3 separate regions of the Mus musculus genome follow, and regions 2 and 3 are each reported to be linked to region 1. The links are microRNA targets in miRTarBase. Many come from high-throughput screens and were not tested one by one. Region 1 holds a microRNA gene; each other region holds the end of a gene's coding sequence.

Evidence for each region. Region 1 holds the annotated microRNA mmu-miR-5125 (UCUGCCUGGGAUUUCCUUGU, at 3,003-3,022, shown strand). A microRNA usually pairs through its seed, bases 2 to 8, with sites in the 3' UTR of a target mRNA and lowers its output. Matches are read on the target gene's strand: a 7mer-m8 pairs with bases 2 to 8, a 7mer-A1 pairs with bases 2 to 7 and ends in A, and an 8mer does both.
Region 2: the mRNA of Rab27a is a reported target of mmu-miR-5125. Seed matches in the 3' UTR shown: 7mer-A1 at 948-954.
Region 3: the mRNA of Tstd3 is a reported target of mmu-miR-5125. Seed matches in the 3' UTR shown: 7mer-A1 at 527-533 and 7mer-A1 at 777-783.

Annotation. Positions count from the first base shown.
Region 1 is chr17:23,820,337-23,824,607 of GRCm38, forward strand. It overlaps Mir5125 (microRNA 5125), which reads left to right and starts at 2,955; the gene lies at 2,955-3,033. It overlaps Srrm2 (serine/arginine repetitive matrix 2), which reads left to right. Exons shown (of 15, transcript NM_001368687.1): 11 at 1-1,354; 12 at 2,077-2,364; 13 at 3,455-3,568; 14 at 3,680-3,784; 15 at 3,880-4,271. The coding sequence ends at 3,889.
Region 2 is chr9:73,095,185-73,098,184 of GRCm38, reverse strand. Rab27a (RAB27A, member RAS oncogene family) reads right to left here. Exons shown (of 6, transcript NM_023635.6): 6 at 571-2,927. The coding sequence ends at 2,729. Among named protein-coding and RNA genes, the nearest start is that of Khdc3, 5.7 kb to the left of the region's middle.
Region 3 is chr4:21,755,565-21,758,564 of GRCm38, reverse strand. It overlaps Tstd3 (thiosulfate sulfurtransferase (rhodanese)-like domain containing 3), which reads left to right. Exons shown (of 4, transcript NM_029840.1): 4 at 90-1,183. The coding sequence ends at 162. It also overlaps a transcript of Ccnc not described here. Among named protein-coding and RNA genes, the nearest start is that of Tstd3, 10 kb to the left of the region's middle.

The sequences.
Region 1 (4,271 bases):
GATGTAGATCACCTGGAATGCTTGAACCCCTTGGAAGCGCTAGAACGCCCATGTCTGTGCTACAGCAAACAGGTGGCTCCATGATGGATGGTCCAGGTCCTCGGATTCCTGATCACCCAAGATCATCTGTTCCAGAAAACCATGCTCAGTCTAGAATTGCACTTGCCTTGACAGCCATCAGTCTTGGTACTGCCCGGCCACCTCCATCCATGTCTGCTGCTGGCCTTGCTGCAAGAATGTCCCAGGTTCCAGCACCTGTACCTCTCATGAGCCTTAGAACAGCCCCAGCTGCTAACCTTGCCAGCAGGATTCCAGCAGCATCTGCAGCAGCTATGAACCTTGCTAGTGCCAGGACATCTGCTATTCCGGCATCTGTGAACCTTGCTGACTCAAGAACACCAGCTGCTGCTGCAGCTATGAACTTAGCCAGCCCTAGAACAGCAGTGGCTCCTTCAGCTGTGAACCTTGCAGATCCTCGAACCCCTGCAGCTTCAGCTGTGAACCTAGCAGGAGCTAGAACACCAGCTGCATTAGCAGCTTTGAGTCTCACAGGCTCTGGGACACCTCCAACTGCTGCAAATTACCCCTCCAGTTCCAGAACACCCCAGGCTCCAACCCCCGCAAACCTGGTGGTGGGTCCTCGATCTGCGCATGGCACAGCTCCTGTGAATATTGCTGGCTCTAGAACCCCTGCAGGCTTGGCTCCCACAAATCTCTCCAGTTCCAGGATGGCTCCAGCATTGTCTGGTGCAAACCTCACCAGTCCCAGGGTGCCCCTTTCTGCTTATGATCGTGTTAGTGGCAGAACCTCACCTTTAATGCTTGATCGAGCCAGGTCCAGAACACCACCATCTGCCCCAAGCCAGTCTAGAATGACCTCTGAGCGTGAGCGGGCTCCTTCCCCTGCTTCAAGAATGGTTCAGGCTTCTTCGCAATCTCTTCTCCCTCCTGCACAGGATCGGCCTCGGTCCCCTGTGCCATCTGCTTTTTCAGACCAATCTCGTTCAGTTGTCCAGACCACTCCTGTAGCAGGGTCTCAGTCCCTTTCATCCGGGACAGTAGCGAAGTCCACATCCTCTGCTAGTGACCACAATGGCATGCTTTCTGGCCCTGCCCCTGGGATATCCCATGCTGAAGGTGGGGAGCCACCTGCCTCTACTGGGGCCCAGCAGCCTTCTACATTGGCTGCTCTGCAACCAGCTAAGGAACGTCGGAGCTCTTCCTCCTCTTCATCATCATCTAGCTCCTCCTCCTCTTCATCATCTTCATCGTCATCCTCCTCTTCCTCTGGCTCCAGTTCTAGTGATTCAGAGGGTTCCAGCCTTCCAGCTCAACCTGAGGTGGCACTGAAAAGGTGAGGCAATTAAGGGATCTAGGGAGCAGGGACTTAACAATGGGTGGGTGAGTAGGGAGGGAGAAATCTTGTCAAAAGCACTTGGCTTTGAGAAAGTATGGGGGACCTTGGCCTTCAAGCTGGGAGTAGAAAGAATGTTGGGCGGGGGCTTTGTGGGGAGGAATGGGACAGATAAAAGTCTCCAAAGGTTAATTCTCCAGAGGATAATGATAAGTTTTCCATCTCTACAGAGGACAGAACTAGAGGAAATGGACTTAATTTTACAGCAGGAGGGATGGCAGTTAGACCTCAAGAGGAACTCCCTGGGCTGGAAGGATCTTCAGAGGTCATCCCATCCCTCTCCCTGCCTCCAGGCAGGACGGCCCCTCCCCAGCCAACCTGCACTCACAGGGGCCTCCCCAAGCTGCGGCTCTCCAAGGAAGGAGATCACCCAGCTTCAGCTTCCACATCTGAGTCCAGGGGCCTTAATCCTTCATCAGGGACATTCTTGAGGTTTAACCTTGATCCCTTGTGCTTCGGGCCCCAGCCTGTTGCTTGTGTTAGCAGAGGTTTGGTCAGCTCTGTGCCACTGCTCCAGAGAAGTACTACTCACTGGCCTGCCTTCGTGTTTTCCCAGGGCTTTTCTCAGGCACCCCTCCCCCACTGCCGTTCCTCCAGGCCAAGGAAGGTAGGGTTGGGGTTGGGGCATCTTGTCTCCTTGTGACACCTTTCTTCTCTCACAGGGTTCCCAGCCCCACCCCAGTCCCAAAGGAGGCTATTAGAGAGGGACGTCCTCAGGAACCAACCCCGGCCAAAAGGAAGAGGCGCTCTAGCAGCTCCAGTTCCAGCTCCTCCTCCTCCTCCTCTTCCTCTTCTTCCTCTTCCTCCTCCTCCTCATCTTCCTCCTCCTCTTCTTCCTCTTCTTCCTCCTCTTCTTCCTCCTCTTCCTCCTCCCCCTCCCCTGCTAAGCCTGGCCCTCAGGCATTACCCAAACCTGCAAGCCCCAAGAAGCCACCCCCTGGCGAGAGGAGGTGAGTGCTTTCTTGCCTGTTGTGGAAGGGGGGTTGGGGTGAGTTCTCCAGAAAGGGGACCCTGGGTGAGGTTCCTGCTGGGGTGCCTCGTGTGGACGTCTGTGACTGGTTGTACGGGAGAAGGAGTGCCGGACTCCTCCCATCCTCCCACAGTGTTGTATTCTGGTCAAGGGCTGCACTATCTAACTGAGGTGTCCCAGGCCATATCTGGGAAGTCATAGGATTCTTCCTCCCTCTCCCCTCCCCTGACAAGCAGCCTGGTCTCAGAGATCTAGCTCTAAGTCTCCCCATTGCTGCTGCAGGGCTCTGGTCTGGCCACCGTCATCTTCTCCCGACTCTGTCCACAGCCTCCTCCCTGTCTCCCTGCCTCCACGCCATTCTCTTCCACACGTAGCCAGAGGGATCTTTCTAAAACGCACATCTGGTTACTTCCCTTCACTCCACAAATCCTTCCGGAACGCCCTGTGGCCTGCAGGATAAAGTGCCACCTCTGCGGGAATGGCGTGTGAGGCTCTTCACCAGCTGCCCTTGCCCGCCCTGTGCTCCTCCTGCCCGCCCCCACACATGCCCCGTGCTCCGGCCATACCCAGCGCCTTGCAGTCTAAGGAGAGCCCCATGCCTTTGGACATGCTGTTCCTTCTGCCTGGGATTTCCTTGTCTGCCTGGTGAACTCGTTCTGCAAGACTGCATTCAAACAGCACCTCCGAGAAGACTGCCCTGCCATTTCCCTGTCCTGCCCAGGTCCCCATCCTTTCTCTGGATCCCCAGGCCCATGCATATCCATCCTGCTGGGCTGTTTCCTATGTAGGGGGCGTGTGTGCCTTCATTGTTAACCTTTACTACCAAACAAAATTCTTCCAAGGGCAGGGACTCTTTTATCTTTGCATCCCCCGCTGCACCCTGTGCCCTGTCCACTGGGGTACTCGGTGGATGGTGTGCGGGCGGATGGGTGAGTGCGGACAAAGGTGGGTCTGAGGCTGGCCCTGTGTGGTGTGAGGTTTGGTGGTCAGGACCTGGGTGGGTGGTCCTGAATGCTTGGCTGGTGGGTTTGGGAGGATGTGGAGCTATAGAGGCCTACTCTGCTTCCTAGGTCTCGAAGTCCTCGGAAGCCAATAGACTCCCTTCGGGATTCCCGATCCCTCAGTTACTCACCCGTTGAGCGTCGACAGCCCTCGCCCCAACCTTCACCAAGGGATCTACAGAGGTAGGGCCTATAGCAGGTGCTAGCAACCTGACTCAACTAGCTACCATTAATTTGTAAGCAAAATTTAAAAGTTTTTGGTATTGTTCTGTGACCTAATTTCTCCTCTTGTAGCAGTGAGCGAGTTTCCTGGAGAGGCCAGCGAGGGGACAGTCACTCTCCTGGTCACAAGAGGAAGGAGACACCTAGTCCCCGTTCTAATCGTCACCGCTCCTCCAGGTGTGTCTCCTTGGAAGTCTGGCCCTTCTGAGAGCTAGTAGTTAGGGATAGGGATATGTGTGGTGACCCAGAATGACCAGTCTTCTCTATTCCAGGTCTCCATAATCTGGATTCCACTACACCTCATACTCTGGAGACATGAGTATTCCTCATTTTTCCCAGAAGAATCATGGAAGGAGTCTTTGTATGCCTTCCCTTGAACCTTGGCAGCATCTTGAGGGGAGAGCGTCCTCTCCCACCCACCCTTTTTTTTTTTTTTTTTTTTTTTGGTTCCTGTGAAATGTTGATCTCTGTGAGTTTTTCCTGGTTCTTGTGTTTTGGGGGTTGGAGTGGGAGGGAGGGAGTCTAGGGAGGGAGGGGCACAGCTCAGGACATCTAGGCCTCAGATTGTGATGATCCAGGGAGTTAGCTCCCTAAATTCTTGGGTGACTGATGGTTTAACTTGGTAAGTTGTAATCTTTCCTGAAAGAGGAAGGAGCTGAAGTTG
Region 2 (3,000 bases), not on the chromosome of region 1:
CCCATGAGTGCTAGATCAGAGCCAACTCAGGGATGTGCATCTGAGAGGAGGCTGAGTCTCTTTCCGTCAGTAGCCAAGCCTTCTCCAGTGCCCTGGCACCACTCCCAGCTCTGCTTTGAGTGCAGGACCTAACCATTTTTGTTTTGCTCCATCAGACTACCTAGTTCACCAACTCTCAAAGGTACTCAATAAATATTGGATAAAACATTTTGAATTGGGGGTGAAGAGATGTTAAAAGCACTGGCTGCTCTTCTAGAGGACCTATGTCCAATTCCCAGCAACTACATGGCAGCTGACAACTGTCTGTGATTCTAGTCCCAAAAAATCCAATGGCCTTTTCTGGTCTCCAAGGACATGCACACAAAGGACACAGACACACAGGCAAACATTCATATACATGAAATAAAATTGACCAAAAAAAAAAAATCTATCTCGAGCTATCTTCCCTGGATGCTGTTTTGGCCAGGGTCCTCAGCAAGCATCTCGTGGACTCTGCATTCCTGAATTCGGGTTCCTTTGGCATCACAATTCCTAGTTTGAAATATTCACCAGAACTTGATATACTGGACCTCTTTTATTATTTTTTTTTATTATTATTATGGTTTAATTGGCACAAAGTTCACTAAAGAGCATTTTTTATACAGATTTGTAAATAGAAAAATACAGTGACAAAAAGTACGGTTATTTTTTTTTTTTTATCAAATTTAAACCATTTTCAGAGAACTCAGTTTTGTTTTGTTTCAACAATTCAAGGCAGCTCTTGTGTTGGGCAACTATCACACACATTAAGCCCCGTGCCTGGTGTGGAGCCAACAGGAGCGGCATCTCACTTCTCAAAACCCGCACTATGCCACTGTGCAAACATTCACTTTTTTATGTGTAGTCTTGGCTGTCCTGGAACTCACTCTGTAGACCAGGCTGGCCTCGAACTCAGAAATCCACCTGCCTCTGCCTCCTGAGTGCTGGGATGAAAGGCATGGGCCTCCACTGCCTAGTGTGTGTTTGTTTTTTGAAACAGGACTTCACTATGTATCTTTGGCTGTCCTGAAACTCACTCTATAGTGAAGCCTAGCTTCAAACTCATCGCCTGCCTCTGCTTCTCAAGTATGGGAGATGAAAAGAACGAACCACCAATACCTGTCTGGCATATTGACTTGATGTATTTACAAGAGAGACATTAAGAAATGTGCCAAACAAGCAGTATGCTCCACTGAAGTCTTAGAACAACGCTGGAAGGCACGGCTATGATGGGCCTCATGTCCTGGGTATATAGGATTCAGATGTATAGGCCTCAATGATGAGTTTGGTGTTTCAAAGAGTCCCTTATTTCAAAAACAGTAAAAGCTTAGTGGCCATGGCTATTTTTTTCTGAGGAGGGGTCAAAGGACAATGGCAATAAATGATAGATGTGCAATTTTTTAAAAGTCTTCTGAGAGCCAGGTGTGACAACTACACCTTTAATCCCCAGTGCTTAGGGTGCTGAGACAGGTGGATCTCTGTGAGTTTGAGGCCAGCCTAGTCTACAAAGGGAGTTTTGGGCCAGCTAGAAACTATATGAAAAGACCCTGTCTCAAAAAAAAAAAAAAAAAGCCACTTGAAACTACCATGCAAAGTATGTTTTCCACTATCAAAAAACATCAGTGCCCCACATTCCCAGTGAAAGCTACAGGCTACAAAACACTTCTCTTAAACTGGCCCACAAATGTGACTGCTTAAATACAGACAGTGAACTCCCTCCCTCCAGATAGCAAATAAACACGCCGTTTAATTAAAAAGAGATTCCTTCAGTTACATTAATGGGGGAAGGGGGGGGGGGAGAAAACAAACTGGGAAACACCACCACCACCAAAACTTGATGGGAAAAGTCAGATTGGCAGTCTCCAGACAAGTGAAAGCAGATCCTGAGGTGCCAGACCAAACATACGTACATATGAAGAGACCATACATACATACATGCAAACATACATACTGTAGAAGCATGAGCGATGTTCAGAGGTGCACTGAACCCAACAGACCATGGATAGACACAAGAGTCTTCATGACCCCTCGGCTAACAGCAGACAATCTGACTGATCCCTACTTCACCCACCCCTGCTCCATAAACCCTTCCCCCCACCCCCAAACTCACAGTGAGTCAATCCGATCTATTCAGAGTCTATAGGTATGGCCGCCATCTGTTTATGCTCATGTCAAAGGAAAGGCTATGTTAAAAAGCAATGCTGAAAGACATTGATCTGTGTGTACACACTTATTGACATTCACGTGTTTGAGAGTGATAGTCTACAGTATGGATTTTGAAATCTGGATTCTCAAGACCGTGCTAGCTTTTCCTTGCTCAAAGATCTTAATGTCTTCAATGAGACTCTAGGGCTGTCCTGTGTTGAGGCAGGCGACTGTGTTAAGGCAGGCGACAGGACCATCAGCGTTCTACATAACAGATGAAATCTTTCATGGCTGAAATCTTGGATCCCTAAATGACCCGCCACCGTGGGCTTTTATAAGACACTTTTGGCTCTGTGAAGTATTTCTTCCGATTCATGGACTAAATCATACAAAGCTGCAGCGCGTTACAGATGGATGCCCGAGGTGACCCTCCTGGAGGCGAGGAGAGGCACCTGGCATAGGAGGGGCTGTTTGCTCATCTCATCGAGCTGCCGGCTTGGTCTCTACAGCGGAGCTGGCGGCAACCAGGGGTCATGCGCTGCTGCCACGGGGCTCGCTTGGCGTCTCAACAGCCACACAACCCCTTCTCCTTCTCCTCACTTAGCTGATCCGCAGAGGTATGGCCGTTGGACCGTACCACTCCCTCCGGAATCCAGGACTTGTCCACACACCGCTCCATCCGCTTCATGATCAGGTCCAGGAGCATCTCAATCGCGTGGCTTATGTTTGTCCCGTTGGCAGCACTGGTTTCAAAATAGGGGATTCTGGAAGACAGAAATCACTGGGGTAACAATGTGGGAAGAAAGACAGTGACTTTTGCCCTTCGTAATTTTTTTG
Region 3 (3,000 bases), not on the chromosome of region 1:
AAAGAGATGTAGAATCTAAATAATTTTTATGAGTGGCTATTGCAAAGCTCTTCTGTTATGAAGCAACACTTACTAATGTATCTTTTCAGTGCTCAACATTATGCTGGAGGATGGAAGGAATGGGTAACCTATGAAATTTCAGAGGAGAAACAAGAAAGTTGACTTTTGGAATTACAGACTCGGTGTTCATATCTATAAGGATGGTGGATTAAGCAAAAGAAAAACCCAGCCCTGGCACCAAAGGCTAATAGATTCTGGATGACTGCTTGGCGACCGTTTTCCTCATCTGAGAACTGAGGGTGCTGCTCCCCTGAATATTTCAAAGTCTACTGCACACTGAGATAATATGAGTTGCCACTGAAATTATATTCTACAGTTCATTTTGTTATTCTTTTCTCATACATTACACCCGAAACCAAAGTTTCCCCTCCCCTCCCTCTACAATTAATTTTTAAGTATTTTGGTGTTCCAAAATGATCAGATAAGCTGGCGGTGGTGGCGCACGCCTTTGATCCCAGCACGTGGGAGGCAGAGGCAGGCGGATTTCTGAGTTCGAGGCCAGCCTGGTCTACAGAGTGAGTTCCAGGACAGCCAGGGCTATACAGAGAAACCTTGTCTCGAAAAAACAAACAAACCGATCAGATAGCTCCAGTTATCTAGCCATGTGTCATCACGGTTGTGAGCAAAACCAGTGTTAACAAGCAGCCCCAATTTTAAACAATAACTGAGCTTCTGGTTTGAGACCCATATTTTTAGGTCCAATACTGGAAAGACGGAGGCAGAAAGATCACCATGAGTTTGAGTCCAGCTGGGACTACGGAGACTCTGTTTCAAAAGAAAAGACTCTGGGGTCTGGAGAAGTCAACTCTACTCAGGAAAATATATTCACAGCATCTGAAGACTCATGGCAATGTGTGGGCAGAGTAGTAACAATTCAACTCATTCTAAAAATTATAATTAATGTGAGGATAAGAATCTGATGGGTTTTGACTGTGGAGAGCAAAGTAACCTAGAAGAGGCCAGGAATTGGTGTGGGATACTGGAGATGTTCTGTGGCCATGACTGAAAACGTCAGGAGTGTGTGTGTCAAAACTCATCAAAGGAAGCATAAAAATGAGTGTTTTTCCACGTCAATATACCTCAATTTCAAAACTAATAAAATATTAAAGTTTGACTCCCTCCAGCATGCATGTATTTCTTTAAAGTGTTAAGTTATATGCTTGTTGGTGTGCTGGCATCATAGTAACAAGGTAAACTTGTTTTCCTGCCTGCTGCTTCTGACCATTTGTTTTGACTCTCATTTGTGTAGTTATTTAGATCAGGTAGGACCCACCCAGCAAAGCTCTCCAGGTACTTCCTTCTGCAAAATAAGTGGAAGCCATTGAAAAATGTGGAAATACAAACATTTGAACATCTGTCTCCACAACAGCAGTCTGATTTCTTGATTGTTCATACTAGGAAAGCTGCAACACACACACACACACACACACACACACACACACACACACATACACACACACATAGGCACAGGTTAGCGTACTTCAAGACAGTACTGAAGCAGCAAGGCTTTGGAAGATCTATGAACTTAAGGAGAAAGTAAACTGTAGAGGATGTACCAAAATTGTAGTACTGGGCCCATCAACTAACAGCCTGGCTAGTACCTGGCTTTTAGTTACAACTAATGGTGCAGTTAAGCCATAAATTGACCAGTCCCCTCAAGAACTAAATGTCAACTAAGATCCAAATGCAGGTGTCTTCCTGAACCTCTGATAGATGAATATGTAAATATGATTACCCTCCCATAAGGTTTCATATGCACACTAAAGTATGAATCATAATTCATTCATGTGTCACCAAATGTTCTTTCAACTATTTAGAAATTCAGCAAAATTCTTAAGGCCAGGCCAAAAAGCAGGTGACAAACCAGATATTGCCTATAGAATACAGTTTGCGGTTATCCTACAGGTGAATGAGAGCCAAAGGCTATCTCAAGTTTTCATATGTAATGTCCAGACTTGTATCAAAACTTGCTAGGCACAACAGGAGTCAGGATCTCTTTTGGTTTGTTTTTGTTTGGAGACACTGTCTTACTGTGTAGCTGTAGCTGGCCTGGAACGCATACATACACCAGGCTGGCTTCAAATTCAGAGACTGCCTGCCTCTGCTTCCCAAATGCTGGGATTCAAGGTGTGGGCCACCAGCAGGAAATAGTATCTTATAATTGAAAAGTAGCAGGAAGAGGCTAGAGAGATGGCTCAGCGGTTAGGAGCGCCGACAGCTCTTCTGAAGGTCCTGAGTTTGAATCCCAGCAACCACATGATGGCTCACAACCATCTGTAATGAGATCTGATGCCCTTTTCTGGAGTGTCTGAAGACAGCTACAGTGTACTTACATATAATAAATAAATCAAAAAAAAAAAAAAAGGAAAAGTAGCAGGAAAAAAGGAGCCTGGTATGGTGTTATATTCTTATAACTCTGACATTTGGGAGGTGAAGGCAGGAGGAGTCAAGGTCCTCCGTTACACAGAGAATAAAAGGCCAGCTTGAGCTATATGAGGCCTTACCTCAGAGGAAAATAGAAGAGAGCCAGAGGGGGTTTATATATTGGACTTTCAGACACAAGGATTAAAGTAACTGTTGTCCTAGTTTGATTTTCTATTTCTGTGAAATAACACCATGACCACAACTATTCTTATAAAGGAAAATATTTAACTGGGGCTGGCTTACAGTTCAGAGGTTTAGTTCATTATTGTCATGGCAGGAAACATCATGGCTCACAGGCAGACATGCTGCTGGAAAGGAGCTAAGAGAGTTCTACATCTTGATCTGAAGACAGACAGGATGGTAGTTTGAATATGCTTGGCCCAGGGAGTGGCACTATTAGGACATGCAGTTTTGTTGGAGTAGGTGTGGCCTTGTTGGAGGAAGTGTGTCTTTGTGGTCGTGGGCTTTAAGACTCTTGTCCTAGCTGCCTGGAAGCCAATCATCTCCTAGTTGCCT